3 linked regions of the Drosophila melanogaster genome follow. The protein of the gene in region 2 interacts with the protein of the main gene of each other region in a pairwise test. Each region holds a gene or a part of one and is shown on either strand. Other genes may lie near its edges.

Evidence for each region. Proteins that work in one complex are often made in the same cells at the same time.
Region 1: the proteins of CG13001 (region 2) and mus101 interact in a two-hybrid assay, tested with the Drosophila melanogaster proteins (one large-scale study listed by BioGRID).
Region 3: the proteins of CG13001 (region 2) and tey interact in a two-hybrid assay, tested with the Drosophila melanogaster proteins (one large-scale study listed by BioGRID).

What each region holds. Positions count from the first base shown.
Region 1 is NC_004354.4:13,720,646-13,727,663, reverse strand, and holds mus101 (mutagen-sensitive 101), read right to left. Parts: upstream 5,419-7,018; 5' UTR 5,311-5,418; coding exon 1,033-5,310; 3' UTR 551-1,032; downstream 1-550. Other genes in the region: Mrgn1 (mahogunin ring finger 1), read left to right, coding at 5,988-7,018.
Region 2 is NC_004354.4:16,940,562-16,944,829, reverse strand, and holds CG13001 (uncharacterized protein), read left to right. Parts: upstream 1-1,958; 5' UTR 1,959-2,247; coding exon 2,248-3,255; 3' UTR 3,256-3,744; downstream 3,745-4,268.
Region 3 is NT_037436.4:19,660,615-19,665,241, forward strand, and holds the start of tey (teyrha-meyrha), read right to left. Parts: upstream 3,051-4,627; 5' UTR 2,782-3,050; coding exon 2,665-2,781; intron 1-2,664. UniProt on the Drosophila melanogaster protein: Required for the correct synaptic targeting of motoneurons RP5 and V to muscle 12 (M12). May be involved in the negative regulation of Tl in M12. Involved in the correct patterning of veins in the proximal (costal) region of the wing blade.

The DNA of each region.
Region 1 (7,018 bases), 3.2 Mb from region 2:
ACATGAAGAAAGCTGCAAAAAATCGAAAATGAATATGAGAAACAGATCAACTGGCAACCAGAATGCCATGCGATGCAGATCGATTCCTGGATACTATCTATTTTTGATGAATTTGTTGCCTAGAGCATGAGATTCCACTAATAAACAAAAACAAAAAAAAACACACCCACAAACACAGACAATTATATAGCTATAGTTATATAAAATGGAATTTTATAATGAATCCCACACAGAGAATAGAACAAACAGCATGGATTGTAAAAACAAATTATATATGTATACATGTGAAGCCGTATGAATCAAATATAAAGTACTGCTATACAACATAATTACTAAAAAAAACAAAAACAAAAACTGAAGCTAAGTGAAATTATACATACATACATGCATATTATATACAAACACACACACAAGCCCACATACAAATATATAAACGTTAAATAAATGAAAAGTACAATACACTTGCATATTGATTTATTGTTTAATTTGGCTGCGGAAAATAAATAATGTAATTGATCGAAATCGGGATGAAAAAAATAGAATTTCTTTAGGTTTTTAATATTACATTTTGTTTATTAAATTGAAGTTGGAATGAAATTAATAATGGAAATAAACTTAATAAGGTAGCTTCAATAAAAAAATAGATAATCGTCAAATTTCATTCTAAAATAATTTGCGCTTTGACTTAGAATTAATTTTCAACAACACCTTTAGAAATAAATCACTAAATACAATTATCAAATGGACTTCAATTTCAGTTCGTTTATTTTGAAGTTAATTAACGATATTAATTTATTAGTAATTCATTACGCTAAAGGCTTCCAAATATTATGATTTTTTTCAGTAACCAAAAGAAAAGGACACAAATCAAAAATTCAAAATTACACTTACAACTGATTAAACTAGACCTATTTTAAATTAAACCTTTGAAGGCTTTAATTCAATAACTTTTATATAACCACAAAATATCAAAATATAGAACAGGAACAAAAAAAAAAATCCAATGCATGTACAAAGAATCTAATGATTCGTTCAAAGGAGCTGGTACTTTCCCAGATCGGCATCCCTGCCGTTCATCAAATATGCGTTGATGGCAATCTGGCTGAGCACCTGCACACCACATTTGTGAAGATACTCCATGTCCTGGGTCGACAGCGGCGCCTTCTTCACATCGACAAAACAATGGCTGGCACTTTTGGCCACAGGATCTTTGGAGAACGGAGTTGTTGGCTCCAGGATGCAAGCGCCGCCGGCACGCAGCACATTCCTGATGGGCGCCCCGCTCCTCTCGTTCATGCTGAGTATAACCCGGTGATCGGAGAAGGCGCCACCGCCGCACGCACTCAACTCCGTGCGCCAACGGTGGACGGCGGCAGCGATGGGCTCCTCCTCCGGTGCCAGGGTGGGCAAGTTAATGGCCTTCGGGTTGCCCCATTCGTACAGCGTTTCGTCCAGAAAGTCGCCACGCGCATGCGACTGTTCGATATACTGGATATTTAGTATCCATTTCCCGGCCGCAATGCAGGCCAGCATCTTCTCGCCGCGATTCGGACGCTCGCACAGCAGATGGGTGCAGCTATCGTCATAGTTCACCAGATTCTCGCACACTTTTCCGCCCAGTTGGGTGATCCGCGCGATTAGTTCCGCCCGCTTTTCGTCATCATCACCGCACGAGATGCTGAAGCACGGTATGCCAGCATACTGCATCTTGGGCGAACCGCCAGAGGATCTTCTCTTTGCCGCATTGAACTCCGCCGGATCGCGCCAGTCGACCATGTCCTCGGTGCCCAGGGCGAAGCCCTCGGACTCGAAGGGCTGCACATACTGCACCTCGCTCTCGCCGCAATCCATGTCGTTGTCGTGGCTACGCTTCAGACTGTTCCTTCGCGATTCGCAGTTCTTTAGATAGTCGGTGATTTGCTTGACATCTGGCGCCACTGTGGGAACATCTGGGGCCAATACGGGCACGGCCGACTCCTCGAAGCTAATCTTGTCAAAGTTAATAGTGCTCTGACCTTCCTCGCTTAACGTTGGACCATCTGAACGCCGTGGCGGCGCTGCTTCGATTGGACTCTGTGTGTTCGGTACGAAGGGTGATTGCGTTCCGCTGCGGGGTGAACCCATGGACACCCGGAGTGGCGTCTTTTTACCTAGCGATAGCTTCGGTGTTTTCGGTGATCTATCAAAGTTGAGTTTGGTGGCCTGCGTCGTCCTGGTTGGCGGCTTCTTCTTTACCGTTGATGGCGATTCCGATAGCGTTGGCGTCTTAGCATTACTTTCTTCATATTCGATGCCCAGAGTTTCGCATGTGATCCGCATCACGCGCTGCCTGATGACGGCCAACGGTGTGTCTGGTTTGATTTTCATGGTGGGTAGGCGCCAGCGCCGCTCAAAATCATCGGCCATCCGCTGCTGGAACTCGGGAGTGAGACAAAAATCTGGAATTCCCGGTGCTGGTCGTTGATGCTTACGACTGACGGGCGTGCAGGCCTGCCGTCGAATGCGTTCCAATTCCGGCGTTTGATTCTCGCGCATTTCACGGATAATCTCGCGCACACAATCCTTGCCCTCTTCTGTATCCAGGCGTTGAACGAATTGCTCTAGGAAGTCCAGATTGTACTGCTGGGCACCCACCTGGCTAAGTGGCGTGCATGGTGAGTCCGGAGAAGATGTGGAGTTGCTGCCACGATGAAGAGCACTGCCTCCTGGTATTCCAGCTAGCTCGGAAACTCTCTTGTTGCGCAGGGGCGTCAGTTCAGGAGCTCCTGGACTGCCAGCAGTAACTGGTGTGACAGATCCCGCCGGTTGGTTCTCGGCCTCCTCCATGGTTACATCCGGTTGAGCCACCAATGTGGATTCATTCGGTCTTCTTGCTGTCCGGCTATTGCTGTCCCGCAAGCGTGGCGATATGGGGAAATCCTCGGGACTCTTGCCCACCAAATATCCAACGAAGGGCAGCTTCTGACCAGTGCGGGCGCACTGCACCAGCCAATCGGATGTGACTACGGGATAGTTCCATTTGATGGCACCTTCATACTTGGAGCCCTCGGCACTGGGACACACCAGCAGCGGTTTCTCCTTCTTGATGAATGTCTTATTGACGGAGGCGCCAAGTAGTTCTGCTGTCGCATTAATAAAGTCCCGCTCCAATCCTGCATAAATGGATACGACAATAGTCATTCCCTTAAGCGGCTGACGCAGTGCGGTAGCCGGCACATGTTTGTGGTAATATTCGATGGGCAGCAGTTGATTCTTTTTCATACAGCTTTCCAGGAACAGTTCGGTGACCACATGGCGGGCCTTGACGGGTAATTGCTTCACATCGAAGGCTACCTCAAAGCTGACAATGGCGAAATCCACTTCATCGGAGAAACTCGATGGCACCAATAAGCCTTGGGCAGCTTCGCATTCGGTTAGCATTTGGTTGAAGAACTCCTCGTTGAAACACTCCCTGTGCACATAAACAGAGACACCGGCGAAGTAGTCCAGCTTATCGAAATCAATGGATAGAGTGCTGGCACTGAGATCCGGCAATTGCAAACCCTCAGCGGGTGGTTTTGGATTGGCTACCGAGACTCGCTGGCGTATATCCATTTGGGTGGAACTTGCCGCTGGTTGAAGGAGACTAACATCTGCCGGTGGCAGTTGTGCCACTGCTCCTTGATCCTGTGAGTACTGATCCAGCAGCGTATGATCCGGCTCCTCGTGCTCCTGTTCCTGCACGGGATCCGGTTCCTGATCGAAAAGCTTCTTCTTGATGGGCAATGTTGGCTGCTTGAAGCTGTGGTTCATGGAGCGCAGTGTTCGCTTGCTGGCAGGAGAGGCAACGTCTGGTTCTCGATTCTGTGGCATCGACACACGATGCACCAACTCACTGACCACGCGACCAGCTCGAATGCTCTCCAGCAGCCAATCTAGGCGCACCACATGAACTGAACCCATGAGACCATCGCGCTGCCACTGTCGGTATTCGGCGTCATCCAGTTGGCCCACAATGATGTGTGAGATGCCCTCATTGGCCTCATCGTAGCGGGTCGCTCCGCCCGTATTCAGCACTCTGTTTAGCTTCTCACGCTCCTCTGAGCGGAAGCCACTCAAATACACACAGCAGCCATCCAGAAAGGCGCCCGCTTTTTTCGCCTGACGCGGTTCAATCTCGGCCAGCACCTGCTGGTAGTTGCGGCCACTGCTAGTCGCCTGCTTGAGCAGCTGCTTGGCGGGCGAACTGCTGCCCACACTGCTGACGGATTCGTTGACGGTACTAAGATCGCTGCACATGCGACGCGAGCCGGAGACGAAGCTGATACGTGAGAGATCCGAGAGGTGCGTTTGATCTGCACCGGGAGCTGCGCCCGGACGAGTGGTCTTGGTGGGTGTGGACGACGTCTTGCCAGGCCGCACCTCATAGTCCTTTGTGGGCAGAGCGTAGCCGCGATTGCAGCTATCGAAGATCCATTCCGGCAGCAAGACATCCTTCTTGTAGCGTATGGCTGCCTTATACTTCTCGGTGTCCGTTTTTGTTTGCTCGGTGATGACGATGTCCACCACCTGGGAGCGAAAGGCACGATGATAGATGCCTCCATTATCGTTGACCAGCCGCATAACTTGATCCTTGCGCGCCACATCCAATCCACTGCACGTGATATTCGCACCAAAGAAAATGGGCAGGCGATACTTATCGAAATCAGGATCCGTGGCCATGATGCCCTCGCGCTGGCTGCGACGACTCTGATCCCAGACGTACTGCACCCAGTCGACGTGCATTACGGGTACTCCGTTCAGCGTTGCCTGCTCGTACTTGCTGGACTTGATGGTGTTCGAAATGAGGTGGGTGGTGCGATGCCCGAAGCTTTGAAAGTATATGCCGCCCATCCAGTTTATGAGCCTGCTCAATTCCTCTTTCTTCTGTGGTGTTATGCCCGTGGCCGAGACCTGCAGATCCCGCATGGCCGTGCTGTAGATGGCACTGCTGCCCTCGGGAATGGGTTCATTGCGCCGCAGGCAGGTGATGAGGCACGGTGGCCCCAGAATTAGTGCTCGCGTCTGCTGCAATTGCTCGAAGAATTCGCCCTCGAACTGGGTCAGCACAAAGACGTCCTTCTTGGTAAGGTTACCGGCTGCGATCAGGGGATATCCTTCGCTTGGCTTTATTTGCCGGATCTGCGTTTCCGCCAACTGTTGGCCCAGTAGCTCCCGCGCCGCCTCGAATTGCTGCAGTGTGTCGGCCTCCTGGACGCCACCGTCGCCCGGCTTCAGATTGTTCACGAAGTACGCGCAGATGGTCTCGTCCATGCTCATGCTTATGCTCATGATGGCGGTTGCGAGTGTGTTCTCTGCTCCGTGATGCGCTGCAAAATTGCCGTGATTTTCGCACTGCACTTTTTTTCGCGTACGCTATTTTGGCGCCGTTTGTTATTGCCTTCAAACCGTTGGCAACGCTGGCTTGTGATTAGTTGGCAACTACGAGTTGAGCTATGTGGCAACGCCGACGGCGAATTAAAAAATAATGTGTATGGGTAATTTTAATTATTTATCTCTAAGATGTAAGGATTTTTTATTTACTTTTTATCAAATAAATAAAATATTTCGAAAATAAGCAGTTATTTATCAGTTTTGGTTTAAGCTATCGATATATTTCATTAAGCGAAATATCGATATCCACGTCGTCGACGGCAGCTCAGCCCTAAAAGAAAGGAAGAAAGAAGAAAGGAAAGGCAAATCAGAAATAATCAAGACATTGACCAACTTGTACTATTGCTAGTTTTGTGGACACAGGATCCAACACTTGAAGGCGACCACAGCTTTCGCACACTCACACACACACAGCGGCCATTTTCCGCCGAACAAGTGAAATGCCAACATGCCATTGTATGTGTGGTGGTGACCAACTGAAATAGAATAATAAACTAAACCAAAGCGAAGAGAAAACGTAGGCCAAGAGCTATATTGGATCTGTGTCACAGTTTTCCATAGCACCAACCTATCAAATGGGCAACTTTGTGAGCAGACAGAACGCGGCGGTGGAGGAGGCCGATCCGAGCACGAACAATGCCTACAAGTATCCACCGAGAATGGGTAACTTCTTTGGCACCCACTTCATCATGGGCGGCGAGCGCTTCGACACGCCCCAACCGGAATCGTACTTGTTTGGCGAGAATGCGGATCTCAATTTCCTGGGCAATCGACCCACAGCCTTTCCGTATCCCCCGCCGCAGGCCAATGAACCGACGAAGACCCTGAAGAGTCTGGTCAACATTCGCAAGGAGTCGGTGCGTTTCGTCAAGACGATGAACGACAAGAAGCTGGGCGGTGTACTCGAGAAGCCCAAGATGAAGGAGATTGATCGGGACTTGGATCTGGACAAGGAGAAGTCCAACGTGACCATCGAGGATGTGGATGGAAATGTGCTCTGCTCGATGGGTTTGGGTGGCGGTGATGCCGATATGACGCCCCCACCGCCGCCCTGCTCTTACAACATCGAGTTTACCTTTGACTCGGACGCCAAGTGCGCCATTACCATTTACTATTTCTGCTCGGAGGATGTCAGTCCCAGCGGCGTGACACTGGTGCCGCGCGAGGGTCTCACCTCGGAGACGTACCACTACGAGAAGGGCATCAATCAGTGCTTCTCGCAGCCGAGCCATGTCTTCAATCCGCAGCAGATGCCCGAGGATGAACTGGGCTATAGTCCCGGCCGTGAACAGTATCCCGTGGCCATTCACTGTGTGGTGGAGGAGGGCAGCGACGAGTGTCGGCAATCGCACACCACCATCTGTGTGATCGATCATCATCCGGAAAACGGCAGCTATGTGCTGCGTGCATTGAAGCAAAAGATCTTTGTGGATGGCTTGTGCTACCTGCTACAGGAGATCTATGGCATCGAGAACAAGGCCGTGAACAAAACGTCTCTGGACGAGGAGATCGACGATCATGGCAGCGAGTGTGTTATTTGCATGAGTGAGACGAGGGATACGCTCATCCTGCCCTGCCGCCATCTCTGTTTGTGCAATTCATGCGC
Region 2 (4,268 bases):
GAGTGAGCAGCTAACATTATCTTTTAGTAATCATAATGTTTACGGATCATAGATACATTAGGCTCTAAAAATCCAAATATTTGTCAACTCACGAGTTTGTTGTATTTCACGTACCCCAACGAACTTATGCATAGTGTACTTTATTTATTACCATAACTAAAAGATCTTGAGAGGCTTTTATTTATTTAGCCCAATTTTCGGACTTATCGCCTGGATTGATCGATTAATTTGGTTATTGATTCTTCTGCGAAAGTCAAAGGGAAAAGCGCATCCAATCGGAGAATGTGTGTCGGCTGTCTTAATATGTTTATAATTGACTTAATTGCCAAACAATTAAGAACAGCAACAAAATGTGTCAAACGATGGAAAGAGAGAGAGAGAGAGGGAAGAGCGGTGGAGAGATGGAGCGAAGAAGCGCAACAGGTGACACCTGTCCCGCTCGCACAGTCTATCGCTAAATGGGAGCGATAAGCAGTTAGAAGCGAAATATATGTGTGTCAAAAATTATCATACATACAAATGTGTACACAGCCATAGTGGTTTTATAAATTTAGGAAAAAATATCATTATATTGCATAAAACGCATAGGTGGCAAAAACACTAAATTAAAATATAATACAAATATATAAACATATACTAACGAAATGTTTTTAAACATTTCAAAGTATAATGATTAAAATTCACAATGTTATCAATATTGCCGTATTTCGCATTATTTATATTTGATTTATTGTAGATATTACTATTATTTGGCACATAGCTGTCACTAAAAATTATCAGCCAACTAACACAGACACACAGCCCGTATGTAAACACGGATTGATTAGAACGCATTGAAGAGAGAAGAGACCATTGAAAATCGAAGCCCGCAGAAAAAGAGATCGCAAAGAAACTGCGGCTTTCAAATAAAAATAATAAAAATCGCTTTTACCTTTCGCTTTTTCCTTGTTAAAAATTTCGTATGCAGTTTCTGCGTGGTCAACTTAACTTCGTTTTATATTCACAACACACACAAACACAACCAGAGCACAACAATAAAAAACGAAAACAAAGAGTGTGAGAGAGAGGGAGAGAGCGGTGGGCGAAAAGCAAAGTCTCTGCTAAATTGCTAAGCTGATTTCCCACACATATCGATATTGCACTGATATTTTACTGCCGCAACTAGTTGACACATTTCCACAAACATTTCGGCCCAGTTTACTAATATTTGTTTATTTATTTATTATTCTTGCGGAATGAATCACTTGCGGAATGTTTCACACACACATACGCGCGCGTACGCATTGTTTGCATCTGTCTCTCTCTCTCGCGCGATCGATGTCTTTTTTTGTTGTTGTCTCCAAAAGGGAACAACAACTATTCGCTAAACAGAAGTTGACAATTCGCGGATGGAAAAGTCATGACCAGAACAAGATTCTTTGTTTTTGTCCCCAATGCCCGCTTTCCGAACCGGATTTTCCGATCCGAACGATCTGCGACCGATCGAAGAATACAAATGCATAATGTAATATAACGGGGCGCGCCTAGTGTGACCGTTGGCGGAAAGACAGCGAATGCCGGCAAAACTAGTTACTAAACTAGTAGCTAGGATACAAGTTATTAATTTTAGTTATATGTAATAATGTAAATTTTAATACTAACGTTCTTTCCATATAACTGAAACATTTTATATCAATAGTTAACTGAATATTATCTCGGCATGAATGCCAGATTTAAGTTTTTTGCCACAGCAACTGGAATTTACCGGATTTTTAAATTTTAAAGCAGCGCCCACGGTAAAATCAGTAAAGCACTTTAACTATAGTGTAATCATTTAAGTAAATTTGTACGTATAAGGAATTGGAATTGGAAGGAATTTGTTTTCTATTTAAAAAACGATATATACCGCACTGCCAGCTATCGATAGCAAATAATCGGCTGGTCGTGATTAAATGTAAAAATTACTTCCACGCTCTGGTAACACTGCATTGTATACCAGAAAAAAATGGTATTAGCATTAGCAGAGAAAAAATCAAATAAATAAAGAAAAAATCAATTAAAAGTGCGCCATTCCAAAGGATTATCCCAAAAGACGCGATCATCCATATCAGATGCTTAAGAATCGGCCGGAAAATCCGACATCGAACTATTAGGCTAGTGAAAAAGTGCAAAATAAACATTCGCCCAGTGGAGGGGGCCATACAGAAAACACTCGAGAGTCTTTCGAAAATACACATATTATACCACACGGATCGTTTTGGATCTACAATGGCCACCAGCGAGATCTCGAGCTCCAATGAGCGGCACTACTACGCCAAACTGGAGGCCATCAAGGACATCAGGGACAAGACGCTGTCGCTGGAGAAGCTCAAAGTGCGGATCATCAAGGAGGTGAAGCTGAGCGACGACGAGGAGAAGTGCCTGGAGGAGTACCGCAAGGAGATGGAGCACCTGCTCGAGGAGAAGATGTCGCACGTGGAAGAGCTGCGCCAGATCCACGCGGACATCAACGACATGGAGAACATCATCAAGCAGACGAAGGAGAACCAGACCCGCTCCTTCGACATGGCCAACCGGGTGTACGAGGAGTACCTGGCCCTGAAGTACCAGATTGATCACATGCGCCGCGACTATCTCGGACTAAGCCCGCTGCGAGATCTGCACGAGGAGGAGGGCAGTCCCATTTCGAAGGATCGCTTCCAGACCAACTTCCTTAAGGTGGCCGCCCAGTCGGCGGCAGCAGCAGCTGCTGCAGCTGCGGCGGCGGCCTCGGTTAATCAGAACTCGTCGTTGGCCCGTCCGCATGCCCGGCATCCTCTGATGCCGGAGGCCACGGTCACCGCGCTGCCTTCTGGCGGCGGACAGGGCGGCGTTGGTGGTGGCGGCGCTGCAGGCGGTGGCGGAGGATCTGTGGGCGGCGGAGGCGGTGGTGGCGGCAATCCTGGACACGCCTTCATGCCACCCGCACCGCCGGGAGCAGGCAGTGCTGCTGCCGCCGCCGCTGCTGCTGCAGTGCGTCTGGGCAAGGGTGACTTCTCAGCACCACCGCCACCGCCGCCGCCCAGCAATCGACTGCAGCAATCGCCTTCGATCGGCATCGGCCACCATCCCTCGTTCCGCTCCGACTTCAATGTGAATCTCCGCCAGCAGCCGCCGCCCATGAAGTCCTGTCTGTCCTGCCACCAGCAGATCCACCGGAACGCGCCCATCTGTCCGCTCTGCAAGGCCAAGTCGCGCTCCCGCAATCCGAAGAAGCCCAAGAAGAAGAACAACTAAGTGGCCACCGCTCCAGACCAGCAACTACACTCATCTTAAGTCCGGAGCTGGTTCCGGAAACTCAGCGCACTAAATCGAATGCGTTTTTTTTTTTTTGCCTCATCTATTTATTATTAATCCCAATGAAAAGTATTACAACGACGCAAGGCGGGTGTGCTCATGATTATCGGAGAAGATTTAAAAGAATGTCAAATACTTGCATTAATATTTTATACATTACTAGTGTATTTGAAAATCGATGAAGAAATTATTCATGACACGCCGGCCGCTAACAAATTCTCATAACAATTTTAGTTGGTAAACTCAATGAATTTGATTTTTATTTTAACTATAATCATAGGCTAAGTATTTTTTAAAAGCTCAAATAACGTGTCAAATTATCGAGAACAAAAATTTTGTTTATACATGTAAGCCATGCTAAATATGCAACTATGTTATATTTAAGCAGCAAAAAAAAAACACAAATATCAATAAAAATATTTCATTTTTAAATGGGTTCTTTTGGTTATAGATTAAATTATTTGGATTATTGGATTTGATTTTATATGTGTGTATTTTAATACAATAACTATAACTGATGTTTATATACTTGCATTATATTTTATACATTTTACATTTGCCATACATCGTTTGTGAACTAAAGAGTATTGTAGATATACAACGTACTAAAATTTAGATCCATGGTATTTTGGCCTGTCCCTGCACTTGGTCACACCTAGCTTAAGCCGAGCAAAAAGTTCGGATTTTTATTCAATTTTTTAATCCAGCCCGCAAAACAACAAATTCGTATTGTTTCAAATTGTTTCAATTGCAATTTTAGTGAAACATAGCAACAACCAGTTCAAATTGAACGCATCAGTGCACTTGGTTTTCTTTTTTTTTTTTGTTTTTGTGGATCAGTTTGTCGTTTTTGTTCTTGTTGTCGCTGCGTGCGTAGAATTTGTGAAAAGAGAAAGTTCTGCGCCGCGTCTTTCTCCGCCTCTCTTTCTCCAATTCTTCGCACAGTCGTGGCC
Region 3 (4,627 bases), on a different chromosome or scaffold from region 2:
TTAAGTTGGCAACTAACTTGCGGATGTGCATAGGCAACAAGGCCTATTTATATATGAGGATTATTCCGATTTGATGGTTAAGTTCATATGATTTAACCCAAAAATAAAACGGTCCCGATATTAATTCGCCTGGTGATAAAATAAAGTTGCTGTGACCAACTCAAAACAACACCATTTCTAACTTCATAACTGAGTTGGGGTTTTCAATTAGGTGATACGACTTTAACACTTGCAAATTTCTTTTTTGATATTGATATTTTCCTTAATTCATGTATTTGTACATACATATGTTCATTTCAAATAAGAAACCGCTTGTAAGGAACATGATATCACCTCTCCCTATCTCTACATTCTGTTGGAATTCTCTTGGCTAACTATCACTGACCATTTGGACATAATACTCCATTTGGTAGTAAGTACTGCTGGTTAAACGCCTCGCTGCCTCCGCATTTCGCTGCTTGGTTCCTAGCTGCCTTCCTGATAAATTGCCATAAATTAAATTAGGCTCAGACACACACACACACACACACACAGATAAATATAGAGACACACACTCGCATATGCAACACAACTCAACTACTCATACTTAGTGGCAATAAGTGGCAAAAAAATGAATTATTTTTCATATGTTGGCCCGCCTCAGTGCCATAACTCTGCCCAACCCAACTTGACTGCCATTTTCTGAAGGGGTCAGTCTGTTTACCTTTTGTTGTTCCTGCTGCCGTCGTGGTTACAGAATTGTTATGGTGCCTGGTGGGTTTCTTTTCCGCTGCCCTTCACCCACCCAAACAATCAGGTCGGTGGTTGAAGGTTCGTTGGCAAGCGGAGTGGAGGAGTGGAGGAGGCAGTTCCACTGGAAGCAGGCCCATATTAAACCATTTGACATTGCTTTTAATATGCTCGCTCGGCTTGTTTTTATTAATTTTTATGGTTTGCCCCATGCCCAATTGTAATCGGTTTCATAAATTATGCTAGATAAGCGACTTGTGCAGTGGCCTTAGAAGGAATCGTCATTGGAAGAAGAAATGGCAAAGAAAGCTGAAGAAACTAATACTCAGCTATGGAATGCAGAGAAAGCTAGCTGAAGATGTATGTATGCTAAAAGATATTTAAAGATATTGAAAAGTAAAAATTTACTTCTTGTTCTTCTTATATAACAGATTTAAACCTATATCTAGTATTGCATTTTATGATGATTATTTATTAAGAACTTTATTGAAAATATTTAAGTGACATTGAGGCGGCTAAAACTTGATAGGTATCAATATAGGCCCTGTTTCGCGACAAGAATTCCTCAAAAGCAAGGTAAATACTTGATCTTTCTAAGCGATATTCCTGCTTTTCCACTGTCTTCCGTGGCGAAAATCGGTTCCTCACAACCCAACTCGCATCTGAACGCCGAGGACATATTGTTGTCATGTTTAACATATCTTAACGCTACTCAATGCTATGCAGGGCAGAGATACATATGTACGTTCCTATTCGGACTGCAGCTCCGATCGGAATAACCAGTTTCGCCAAGCGGACTGTTCGAACATCATCAGCGCCCGAGTTCTTCATCATTTGTAGCATCAGCGTCAAGATCATTGCTCATGTTTACAATGATGACAGGCAGCAGAATGAGCAGAAGCTGGCCGGGAATCGACTTCCAGCCAAATCAAATGGGTCTGCTCTGTGGGATCGGTATTGGGACTGGAATCGGAATCGGGCCAGTAGTTAACTGCGGCCCGCTTCCACTTCCACTCCATCAGGCCCGACTCGCAGTTCGGAATTGAAGCTATCATAAATCTGTTCGTCGCAAAAATCTACACACAATGGGGCGTTTGCAAACGCATTCGCCGATCGGAATGCGAAGACGAACTCTCTGAATCTGCCTCTTGACTGACTGCCGCATTGGAAATGCGATCGTGATCGGGCAGTTCTTTTGGGATATAGGAAAGAACAGAAATTGTATGAGAGGATGGAAAAATTCGACTATTGAACTATTTAGAAGTGTTCCTATAGAGCTTTTATCTTTGCTTTAAATAGGAACGCGAAATAAAAACACCCATATTCTCTCAATGGAGAAGTTCATTCAAACTATGTTCAATTTAGGGTCCAGATACCGAAAATTTGATTATCGTTGTAGTTGTTTCTTTTTTTTTTTTGTAAATTAACATTATGAGATCTATCATTTTGAACAAGGATACTGGCTTCCTTTATGTACATATTATATATAATAACTCCATTTTAACCTATGCTCCATCTAAATAAAGTAGCTCACATTATACACTGCACTTAAACGAGCTCTCACAGCTTTCTCCTCACTTTCTCTCTACGTAATGGATCCTTAATTGAGTGCATGATCGGCAATCACGCTGTCATCCCTAGGCGCATCGCCAACTGGAAGTTCACTTGGAACTTCTGGTCGGATTTGTTGTTTTACAATGCAGCATTGTTTTGCTTGCTGTTGGGGTTTTGGCCGCCGTTTCGCGATTCCTTTGCCTCGCTAGCGGTGTGCTGATTTATGGCATCTTTCGGCATTTCGGCTACCGGCCCCCAGTCTTTATGATTTGTCATAAATATGTCCCCTCTCCGTCCGATCAGAATCGATCGGCTGGGCGATTCCAATCAGCGGCTGTCCGGATGGTTTGGGCTGAGGTTGAGTTTCTGGGCTCTACTTACTCTCGATGGAAACGGACGTTGTCCACGTAGAGCCTCGTGCAGACCGGAAGCGGCTTCCGAGAGGACAACGAGCGCTTGGGACGGCAAATGGCTGCTGCCAAATGCGTTGCTTTCCATCTGCAGCTCGTTTGTGTTTTGTTTTGGTTTTGGTTTAGACTAATTTGGCACTAGGGGGCACTCATAACCTCACTTTCGCTTGTGTTTCAATGTTGGCACATGCAAAGATCACTCGGTATCGGTGATAATCGGTTGGGAATTGTATTTGCGCGTCGGTAAAACGGTAAAGCTCGGATCAGCTGACAGCTCGCTCGCTCTCCTTCTCTCTAAAACTCTCTCGCTCGCTCGACACAGGACACCCGCACGTACGCGCTGCAGAAATCCAACTGAAGCCAAATGGAAACCAGTTGCCGTTAGTTGGCCCGTGTTCTTCCTCTTCTCCAGCCTTGCCGCTGCGCAGTCGGCGTCGGCGTCGCCGCGTAACGCCTCACGACCTCTGATTGGCCAGCGGCCACAACCGGTTTGTCTACACTGTCGCCATCCCGCTCTCGCGCACGCCCACTCCCACTGCGGCAGTGTCTTTACATTATGTTCTCACCTCCTTGGGCGCGCAGTTTGTTGTTGCCGCTGCATTATTATCCCAAAATGGTTGCGTTTGTCCATCCGTTGGCCATTGAACGCCTGTTTGTCTGGCAGCACCTGGTACTCGCACTCGAACTGGTACTGGCACTGGTACTGGCACTCTCCGGGTTTCCCCGCCCCCACAACCATTTTCCACCTCGATCAGCTCCCCTCCCTTGGACGTAAACTTCTGACATTTTGTGTAAATAAACCGTATGGGAAACATTTTTACTTTTGGCTTTGGCATTTTGTTGTTGTTTGTCGGACACTGTCCCGGACAAAAGTATCTTGGAAGTAGTCTCTTTCCTTTTTTCTGCCCCTGCAGCTGGGTTTTTGCACACCGTCCACTTAATATAGCGCATTACTGTGGTATTTATTGGGCGCGAAGTGGCGAAAATATTTCGGAAGCAGGGTGTCAAGAAAATTGGAATTTAATAGGCCGCGACTGCTATTCTGGTTAAAAGAACCAAGTCAATTGCACAACGACAAAATATTGTTAAGAATATATGTACATATAAATAGTAATAATAGTCGTGTAGTAACTAGACTTTAAAGTTTAAGAAATTATATTGCTTTATGGGTTTTATCGTTTTCAAGATTATAATTGGAAAACATAACAATAATAAATTGTTAAGACTTATCTTTTCCTTGTAGTATTCAGTAATTATTGAATAATGGTGAAGATGGACTTTAAGACTTCAGTAAGCTGGCAGAACGTATTCATTTTCAGCACTTGCTCCACTGTCAACTGGCCAACAAAGTAGCTACGAGCAGAAATAGTTGTCACACAATATTACTGCAAACAAGAAGCTACAACTATAGCAGTATTAAAACAGAGGAGACATCCTCCAGCAACCACTGTGTTTAGTGTTGGGGACAGCATAAAAAGCTTAACCATTCTGCGCGCAACTTTTTATTGGCAGCTCGTTGCGCTGTGATTTCCAATACGCCGGACTAACTAAATAAAGTATTTTCCCTGCAATTTACTCGGATTGGTAGGGAGGAGCACCTCGCGGAGGTGCTGAAGATGCGTGTAAAAAATGCGCAAGCCTTTCTGACATGTTTATGGGGCCCTGTCCGTCAAAACGAGCCAGTTGACACCAGACGCTCCCCGCTCCTTTAATTGGTGGCTAGTAAATTTTCTCTTTACCATCTTTGGGTTGGGGGATCTGCTCGCGGAGATATCTTCTAATTTTTTGCTCATTAAATTTACATTTTAAGAATTCCTGTGAGAACAGACGAGCCTGCACTTTATAATTTCCATCAGCCTGCCTTTCGGTTTATTAGCCATCTCTGTCGGTGGGAGGGAGTGCGCGATACTGACGAGGGCGTTGAGTGGGAGGAG